2 linked regions of the Saccharomyces cerevisiae S288C genome follow. The main gene of each other region encodes a partner of the protein of the gene in region 2 in a complex. Each region holds a gene or a part of one and is shown on either strand. Other genes may lie near its edges. The genes, in order: YTM1 and NOP7.

Region 1 (3,986 bases), on a different chromosome or scaffold from region 2:
GCTATGGACTTATTTGGACTTTTGTTGTTTTGTAACCTCTAAAAGGGTTGCACTCAAGAAAAAAGGTTTTCCATATCGACTTATCTGAGTTTCTTTTTTTTGCTTTTTTTTTTTTTAGCCCATTTTTTTTTTGACGCATTAGTCGTTAATGATGATATAATGTCCACGTGATGACATTTCAATCTGCAACAATAGCTCGGCAACTGGATTACTAGCAGTCATACGTATGTCAGTCACTACACATATATATATATTAATGTTTAACTAATTTTTTTTTCTTATCTATCTGATATTTATTCTATAACTATATAAATTTGTCTCTTCACTTCTAAATACCTCTGTTAAAATAGACCTTTTCAATTGGCTTCCCATCCTTATCCTTCTTGCCATGTAGTTCAGGTTCTAGTTTATTTAAATGGATTGCTTGTCTTTGAGGGAAGATACCGAGTGCAAATGGCAAAGCTGAGAACATTGTGACTGAGATCAACCCCAAATTGGCCAAAGTTTGCACACCGAGAGACTTACCTTTGAGGACACCGCGTTGTAGTCTAACCAAAATCAAAGGTGGGATGACCATAGTTGGAGTGGCGTTAATCACTCTACTTAATGCAGTTTCACCAACTGCCATGAAGGCAGCCTTCTTGGACTTTCCGACTTCGTCACCGTTAGAGTCAAACACAGAAATACCCTTTCTAATTTCGTTGCCTCTCATTAGGAAGACGTTGACAATACCGGCACTGACCACGGCGGCAAATGGCACCAAACGGCCCAAGATCAACTTTGAATGTGGAGAAATGTTTTTCAACCTGGGAACTAGGTTATTTAGACCTAACGCAACACCACACGACGCAGTTACAGCGGCAGCGTAATTGGTGAGCAATTGGGACGTGGACATAGGATGAGATTTGTTTGCGTTAGCGGAATTAACGGCGACGTTTAGCGATTGATTTGCCCATTGCCAAAATACAGTCCCTGCCGTACCCAAACCAGGCGTCAGCATACCTACAGTAACGACTAGGTTTGATAGCACGTTGGAAGACATACGGAAGGGCAAAAGAACTGTCTTCCCTGTGTCCGGATGCACGGTGGAGTCCAGTTGTTTCTTGGCTCGCCAGAACTCCGGAGTAGTCTCTTTTAGTTCACCGTGACGATACGCACTGATGATTTCTCTAGCATGCGCCAGGTCCTTCTCAGTAGTTAACAACATAGTGGGGTCGGAAATCTCTGCGCAATGGCGGATTCTACCCCAATACGTGGATAAGTCATAGCGGGATTCGGGCAAATCGATGGGCCCTGGGACTGATGATGCCATATTTCTCTGCCTTGTTTATTTTTTTCTTTCGATGCTGTGTGGTTTTATTATTGCTAACTTGCAGTGGTCGACGCCTTTGAAAACTGTAAAGCTGATGCGAAGACCTAACAGTCTCTTATCCAATTACCTCAATCTGGTACGCTCCGGTACCGGACGCCAGTACGAAAGAAAAACTTTTCGTTCGTCTCGGGCACCATTGGTATAAAAAGCGCCGAGGCAGCGATCATTTTTCTAGTATTACTCTTCTTTCATTTTTTAGTTATCTTTGATTTTCGGTTCCGAAGAAGGCATGATACATATTAAACATGCCTTCTATTCACTGTGCCATCTTACATCCGTAGGTGATCAGAGGGGAAAAGAAGAGCTAGAGCAACTCCCACACTCATGAGCGTCCTCATACTGTTCTGGGCGCTTCTCACAGGTGCTTCTTTTAGTGTCTCCCATTGGCCCAGATCGGTAGCTGCGCGAGTGAGATATCTTTCATTCATTTATATTTATCTGTAGCAATAGCTTCCTTTACTATTTTATTCTTAGGGAGAACTTTAGCTTATTTCTTGCACAAGAGGGTTTGACAGTTTTCTGTTACCCGGCCAGTACTTCAAAAATTTTTCAAAAATTTTCTGAAGTGCTCATCTCATCGCAAACCGTAGGAGCAGTGAAAGGCATATGCTCATCTGTATAATTGCAAAAAGACATATTCTATGTTCGCAGAACCAATACGTTACCTAAAGTTTTAAAGACAATACCAAGGGAAACTGCACAAATTCAATATGACAGAAGATAAATCGCAGGTTAAAATCAGGTTTTTCACGCGTGAGAAAGATGAATTACTACATGTACAAGATACTCCAATGTACGCCCCCATCTCATTAAAGAGATATGGGTTGTCCGAAATTGTCAATCACTTGTTGGGCTCGGAAAAGCCTGTTCCTTTCGATTTCTTGATTGAAGGTGAATTGTTACGTACTTCATTGCACGACTATTTGACCAAGAAAGGTTTATCGAGCGAAGCCTCGCTGAATGTAGAATATACCAGGGCAATTCTTCCACCATCCTATTTGAATAGTTTCAGCAATGAGGACTGGGTTAGCTCATTGGATGTCGGCGACGGTTCCAAGCATATTATTAGTGGTTCTTACGATGGTATAGTTCGCACCTGGGATTTATCAGGTAATGTGCAAAAGCAGTACAGTGGTCATTCTGGCCCAATCCGTGCAGTAAAATACATTTCCAATACAAGGCTAGTTTCGGCTGGTAACGACCGTACTTTGAGATTATGGAAAACCAAAAACGATGATTTGAAATTAACTTCACAACAACAGGCACAGGAAGACGATGATGACGAAGTAAACATAGAGGACGGTAAGACACTGGCTATCTTGGAAGGTCATAAGGCACCAGTAGTCTCTATTGATGTTTCAGACAACTCAAGAATATTATCTGCATCATACGACAATTCTATTGGGTTCTGGTCTACTATTTATAAGGAAATGACAGTTGTTGATCCATTAGAAGATATAAACAATCCAAACAATAAAATATCCACTGCTGCTAGAAAAAGGAGAAAATTGACAATGAAAGATGGTACCATTAGAAGACGTGCCCCTCTGTCTCTGTTAGAATCCCATACAGCTCCTGTTGAGCAAGTGATCTTCGATTCTACAGATAATACCGTTGGTTATTCAGTATCACAAGATCATACCATCAAGACATGGGATTTGGTCACCGCGAGATGTATAGATACAAGAACAACATCGTACTCGTTGCTTTCCATTGCTCAATTGTCGACTTTGAACTTGTTAGCATGTGGGTCCAGCGCCAGACACATCACATTGCATGACCCACGTGTGGGAGCGTCTTCCAAAGTTACTCAGCAACAACTAATTGGTCATAAGAACTTCGTTTCCTCTCTGGACACTTGTCCCGAGAATGAGTATATATTATGCTCGGGTTCTCACGATGGTACCGTGAAGGTATGGGACGTCAGGTCTACTTCTCCGATGTACACCATAACAAGAGAAGACAAATCGGTCCAAAAGGGCGTCAATGACAAAGTTTTTGCTGTCAAATGGGCTGAAAAAGTGGGTATTATCAGCGCTGGTCAAGACAAAAAGATTCAAATAAATAAAGGAGACAACATTTTCAAAAACTGAGAAAAAACTGTTGTTGTTTTTATGTAGAATAATGTACTGATATACTTGAAATAAATTTGGTTTTGCCAACAGCTTTCGCAAATTTCTGTCACCTTCTTCTTTATGTAAAACGACATTACTTGCTAAAAAAAAAAATACTTCTATGATAATGTGTACTTGTATGAAACTTCTATAAATTTAAATTGGTGAATTTTATCCAGCTATCCCCCAATTTACTATTTGAATATATGCAATTGTGATCTGTCTTAAGACCTTTTCAAACCATTCTGGCGGAAGCATCGGTGGCCATTTCCGTATACGAATAACCGTCTTCATTATCCTTGATAGCTGAGTATAAACTATTGGAAATGGGTTCATTACGATTTTGCGCATGTTGCCCGTCCTCGCGATCAAACGAGGCAGGAACGGGCTGCGTATGGGTCCTGCGCAGAGATAGCCTTTCACCTGGTTTTTCTCTAGTCGAAGGGTCTGTTTCCATGGTCCTTAACGTGGTCATCCTTGTTAGATTCAATTCACCATCG
Region 2 (4,285 bases):
AATTTCAGTATCTTACAATTGGTGTGAAATTTTTTATGAAGCATGGTTTAATACTTGAGTTACAAAAAATTTGGCAAATAGAAGAAGCAGGCAATTCACAAATAACAAGCGGAGGGTTCCTTTTAAAAGCATACATCAATGTTAGTAGGGGGACCGATATCGATCGTATAAACTATACAGAGACTGCCTTGATGAACTTAAAAAAGGAACTACAAGGCTATATAGAGTTAAGTGTACCCGATAGACAGTCAATGGACTCGAGGGTAGCACATGGAAATATTCTAATATAATCATTGGCACCTGGGCATATTTTTACAAAATTCACTCATATAGTTATACAGAACAACAGTAACCACTTTTAATGTACAGGTATTTCTATATCTACAAACAAAAATGTGTAGTTATATATCTAATGTTGCTATACCGAGGAATTATAAAGTAATAAAGATGTTAAATTAAAAGACAAAATTTTTGAGAGGCTATTGGAAAAGAAGAGAAAACTATTTCTTGGAATCTAGTTTATTCAGTTTAGCTTTTTGTTTGGCAATTTGCTTCTTTTTCTTTTTTAAGTTCTCAGCTTGTTCCTCCTTTTTAGCATTAGAATACTTCATTTTTTTGTAAAGTTTCTTTTGTTTGTTACTCATCATTATCATTTTCAATTTCTTTTCTTCTTCTTCTTCATCCACCTTTCTCTTTTTGTTCTTTGACTTATTGACATCCTTATCAGCTTCTGAAGTTTCAGAATATTTGATACCTTGTGCTTCCAATTCAAGCTCTTTTTGAGCTTGTAGCTCTTCGTCATCGTCATCATCTTCTTCTCCAGCAACAACTTCTTGATCTTCCTCCTCAACTTGATCTTCACTTTCACTTTCACTTTCACTTTCTTCTTCTTCGCCTTCTTCGACAGGAGCAGTTGGATCGTAACCAATAGCATCACCCCATGGGCTTAAGTGAGGTGGAAGAGCCTCCCCTGGAAGATATTTGTTGGCAGGTACCAATTCGCCTTTATTGATACAATCAAATATCCACTGTGGCTGAATATACGTTCTGCCAGCTACCTTGTTTTTCAAAACTGGCCTGTCAACAATTTGATGAGTGACCTTGGACATGTCAATATCCTTCTTATTTTCAATTTGGTCCATAGCAGCTTCACTGATGACATTACCACCACAAGATAAGATCAAGAACTCAAGAATATCGATCGGAACTTCTCTGCTAACGTAAAAAACAAATGCAGAAAACAAAGAAGCAACAGGAGAATCGTACTTACTTGGCTGTATTAAGATGTCACCCTTGTTCTTATTGTTATCCTCGAAAGTATCTAGTTCCGTTTCCTCATTTTGTTCCTTTTCTTGTTCCTTTTCTTGTTTCTTTTCTTGTTCTTCCTCCTTTTCTGTTTCATCAGTATTTGCCTCATCGGCATTCAAGGCAGACTTTAATGTCGATGCGTCCAAACTTTCAACTTTTACGTCTTCCTCAATCTCAGTTGGGTCAAGTTTTAGTAGGCTGTCTTCTTGTCTGGATTCTAGAATATATGATGACAAACCACTTATGATTTTATCCTTTTTAAGATCCAATTTTGGCGGATAAATCAACCCACTATCGGTGTATAACTTATATAGGACGAAATGCAATAGAGTCGAGTAGAATTCTAAGAAGGTCAACATAATTCTGAAATCAACGTCACTGGGGATGTTTTCTGGAAACTTGAATGGAACTAACCATCTAACTTCTTCACCCTTAATATTGGCTTGATAATAAACACCTTTAATGGATACAAACACTTTACGAACCAAGCGTTCCTTGGCAACATAGGCTAACCATTGATTACAGATTTTCTGAGCATCATTGATAATTTTCGAGGAAACCTGGTTGGTAGAGGGCAAATTAGAGAAAAGAAATAACATATTCAAAGCATCATCAATATCCCTTATAGCATCTGGGAAACTTGGATAACGCTCCTTGATAATATGGTCTAAAGTATAACTATCTCTGTTTTCCTCTAACCTTTTAGCAGAAGAGACTTCTCCCCTACCCAAAGCCCTTGTTAGTTTCCTAGCAAAAGTCTTGTGTTCTCTAAATTTAGCCAAAACGGGCTCATGCATTAGATATTGAATATCCTTAGCATAGTAAAAAGTAGTTGGTGCAGTAGAGCCCTTGTTTGCCTTCTTTTTATTTCTTGGCTCTCTAGGATAGATACCTTTGAATATACATAATCTTCTGAAATCAGCAAGAGAAACCTGTAATTTTCTCACAGCTTGAGATCTGGTAATAAAGTTTCTTGCGTTACCTCTGGTGTTTTTCTTCTTGATTCTCATTGTATAAGTAGGATACCGCTGTTACTATACTATTTTCTACAGGAATAAAATGTATTCCACCAGCAGGATTTACTACACATCTCTAATTAACCTTCCAAAATTTTTCATTTTTTCTCATCTCATCTCATCGCAAAAAATTTTCTTTAATTTTTTCAGGCAATAATAATAGTCACCACAGACGACATGACATTATTCTGTAAATATAACATCAAGGAGGTAATAGTGACTAGCATTTAGGCTTTTAGATCGAACTATTTGCACTTACCCATAGTGCTAGAACGATGTACAAAACATGGCGTCTATGCAGAACACATACAGTGGGTGGGTTATGCCATGATGGAAGTCATCGGTTCGTATCTACGGGAGGGGCAAAGATTGGTAAAAAATTTGAAAATATGAATCAAATAAGGGATTATTTATCAAGACCTGTATGGTCCGTCCACGAATATTTAGGCATAAACACTAAAGAGGAAAAACTAGAGCCACCGTCTGCTGAAGCTGTAAAAAAATTGTTGCGGTTATCAGGTCTTCCCTTGGAAGGAGCAGATATTAAAGAAATTCAAATGCGACTTGCCAAGCAATTATCATTCATCAACAAACTCCATAACATACCTGTCGAAGGTGAAAAGCACACCAAGGAATATGATGCTCGGTTGGTGCAAAGAAATACGAAACAGCTGAACTACACAAAGCTACTTGAAGGCATCAGCCACCAAAAGCAGGATGCTGAGCTAGGAGAAGTTAGCGGATCTTGGAAAGCAACTGGACTTGCCGCGGAATCCAAAAATGCATATTTTGTTGTCAAAGAGGGACTACTCAAAAACAGGAAGTAAGACTTAGAAAAGTAACACATACGCTCTATTCTATATATTCTTTTGCCTATGAATTTTCTTGTACATGTACCACCACGATAAGGCTGAAATATTTTTCAAATGCATAAATAAGATTAAGTACATAGAAGACATAGCAGTATTTACAATATTTCGAATGAGAATGTGTCTTTTTTTAAGTGATTAAAACCACCTACCAGCAGCCTGAAGGCGACGCTGCCTTTGTTTCTCTACAGCTTTACTTATATACCATCCGTACAAGACCCCCATCATAGAGCCACCTAAATGCGCAGCGTAATCAAATGACCCCCATCTTAAAGCACAACCAGCTGCATTCCATGCCACTGAAGCCAAGAATGCTACCCAAGCCCCACCTGGGACTGGGAAAACAAACAGCAAAATTTTAGCGTGTGGGAATAGATATGAAAAACATCCTAAAACCCCAAATAGCGCTCCACTGGCACCCAAGCTAGGTCCGACAATGGCTAGGCGTGCCAGTTTTGGATACCATAACGAAAACAAAGAACCTGCAATGGCACTATTCATATATAAGGAGAAAAAATTGGATGCTCCCAACATTGTTGCGAGTGAAGTACCAAAGGACCACAACGCTAGCATGTTCATACCTAAGTGCCAGAATTCTTGATGTGAAAACGCACTTCCGATTATCGAAATTTTGCTAGTTACGTAATCCTTTTGCAGCAACATGTACTTCTGTAGAAACCTCCAGCATTTGGGTAGCTGCCATAGTCCAAATACGGCAACATTGATGCCTAATAACGCGTATACCAGATTCTTTGGATGCGTCTTAAAATACGTAAAGGGTGGAACGTGCTCGAACAAATAAGGGGAGCCAAAATATATTCCTGCCATTAAAGAGAGCCCCAAAATAGTCATAGAGCCCAGAGGATTGCCGCCGCTTCTCTGCTGCTGGTACTGCTGAAACCTGTTCAAACGTACGTATCGATTAGTAGTTTCTTCATTGAATATAGGCTTCCACCTTGATTTCAAAATTGATGTTTGAGAAAAGAACCGTTTCGGTATAATTTTCTGAAGATTTGTGACATTGTCCTCTAAGTTGGGAGCATTTTTGAGTATCGACGTGCTCTGGGATCTTCCAATATATGATACAAAAGT

The links.
Region 1: NOP7 (region 2) and YTM1 share a complex: the UniProt entries of both Saccharomyces cerevisiae proteins name them as parts of the NOP7 complex.

The regions. Positions count from the first base shown.
Region 1 is NC_001147.6:830,731-834,716, forward strand, and holds YTM1 (Ytm1p), read left to right. Parts: upstream 1-2,082; coding exon 2,083-3,465; downstream 3,466-3,986. Other genes in the region: FSF1 (Fsf1p), read right to left, coding at 329-1,312; TPO4 (Tpo4p), read right to left, coding at 3,722-3,986. UniProt on the Saccharomyces cerevisiae protein: Component of the NOP7 complex, which is required for maturation of the 25S and 5.8S ribosomal RNAs and formation of the 60S ribosome.
Region 2 is NC_001139.9:693,450-697,734, reverse strand, and holds NOP7 (mRNA-binding ribosome synthesis protein NOP7), read right to left. Parts: upstream 2,319-4,285; coding exon 501-2,318; downstream 1-500. Other genes in the region: SRB5 (Srb5p), read left to right, coding at 1-290; GTF1 (glutamyl-tRNA(Gln) amidotransferase subunit F), read left to right, coding at 2,600-3,151; rhomboid protease PCP1, read right to left, coding at 3,332-4,285. UniProt on the Saccharomyces cerevisiae protein: Component of the NOP7 complex, which is required for maturation of the 25S and 5.8S ribosomal RNAs and formation of the 60S ribosome.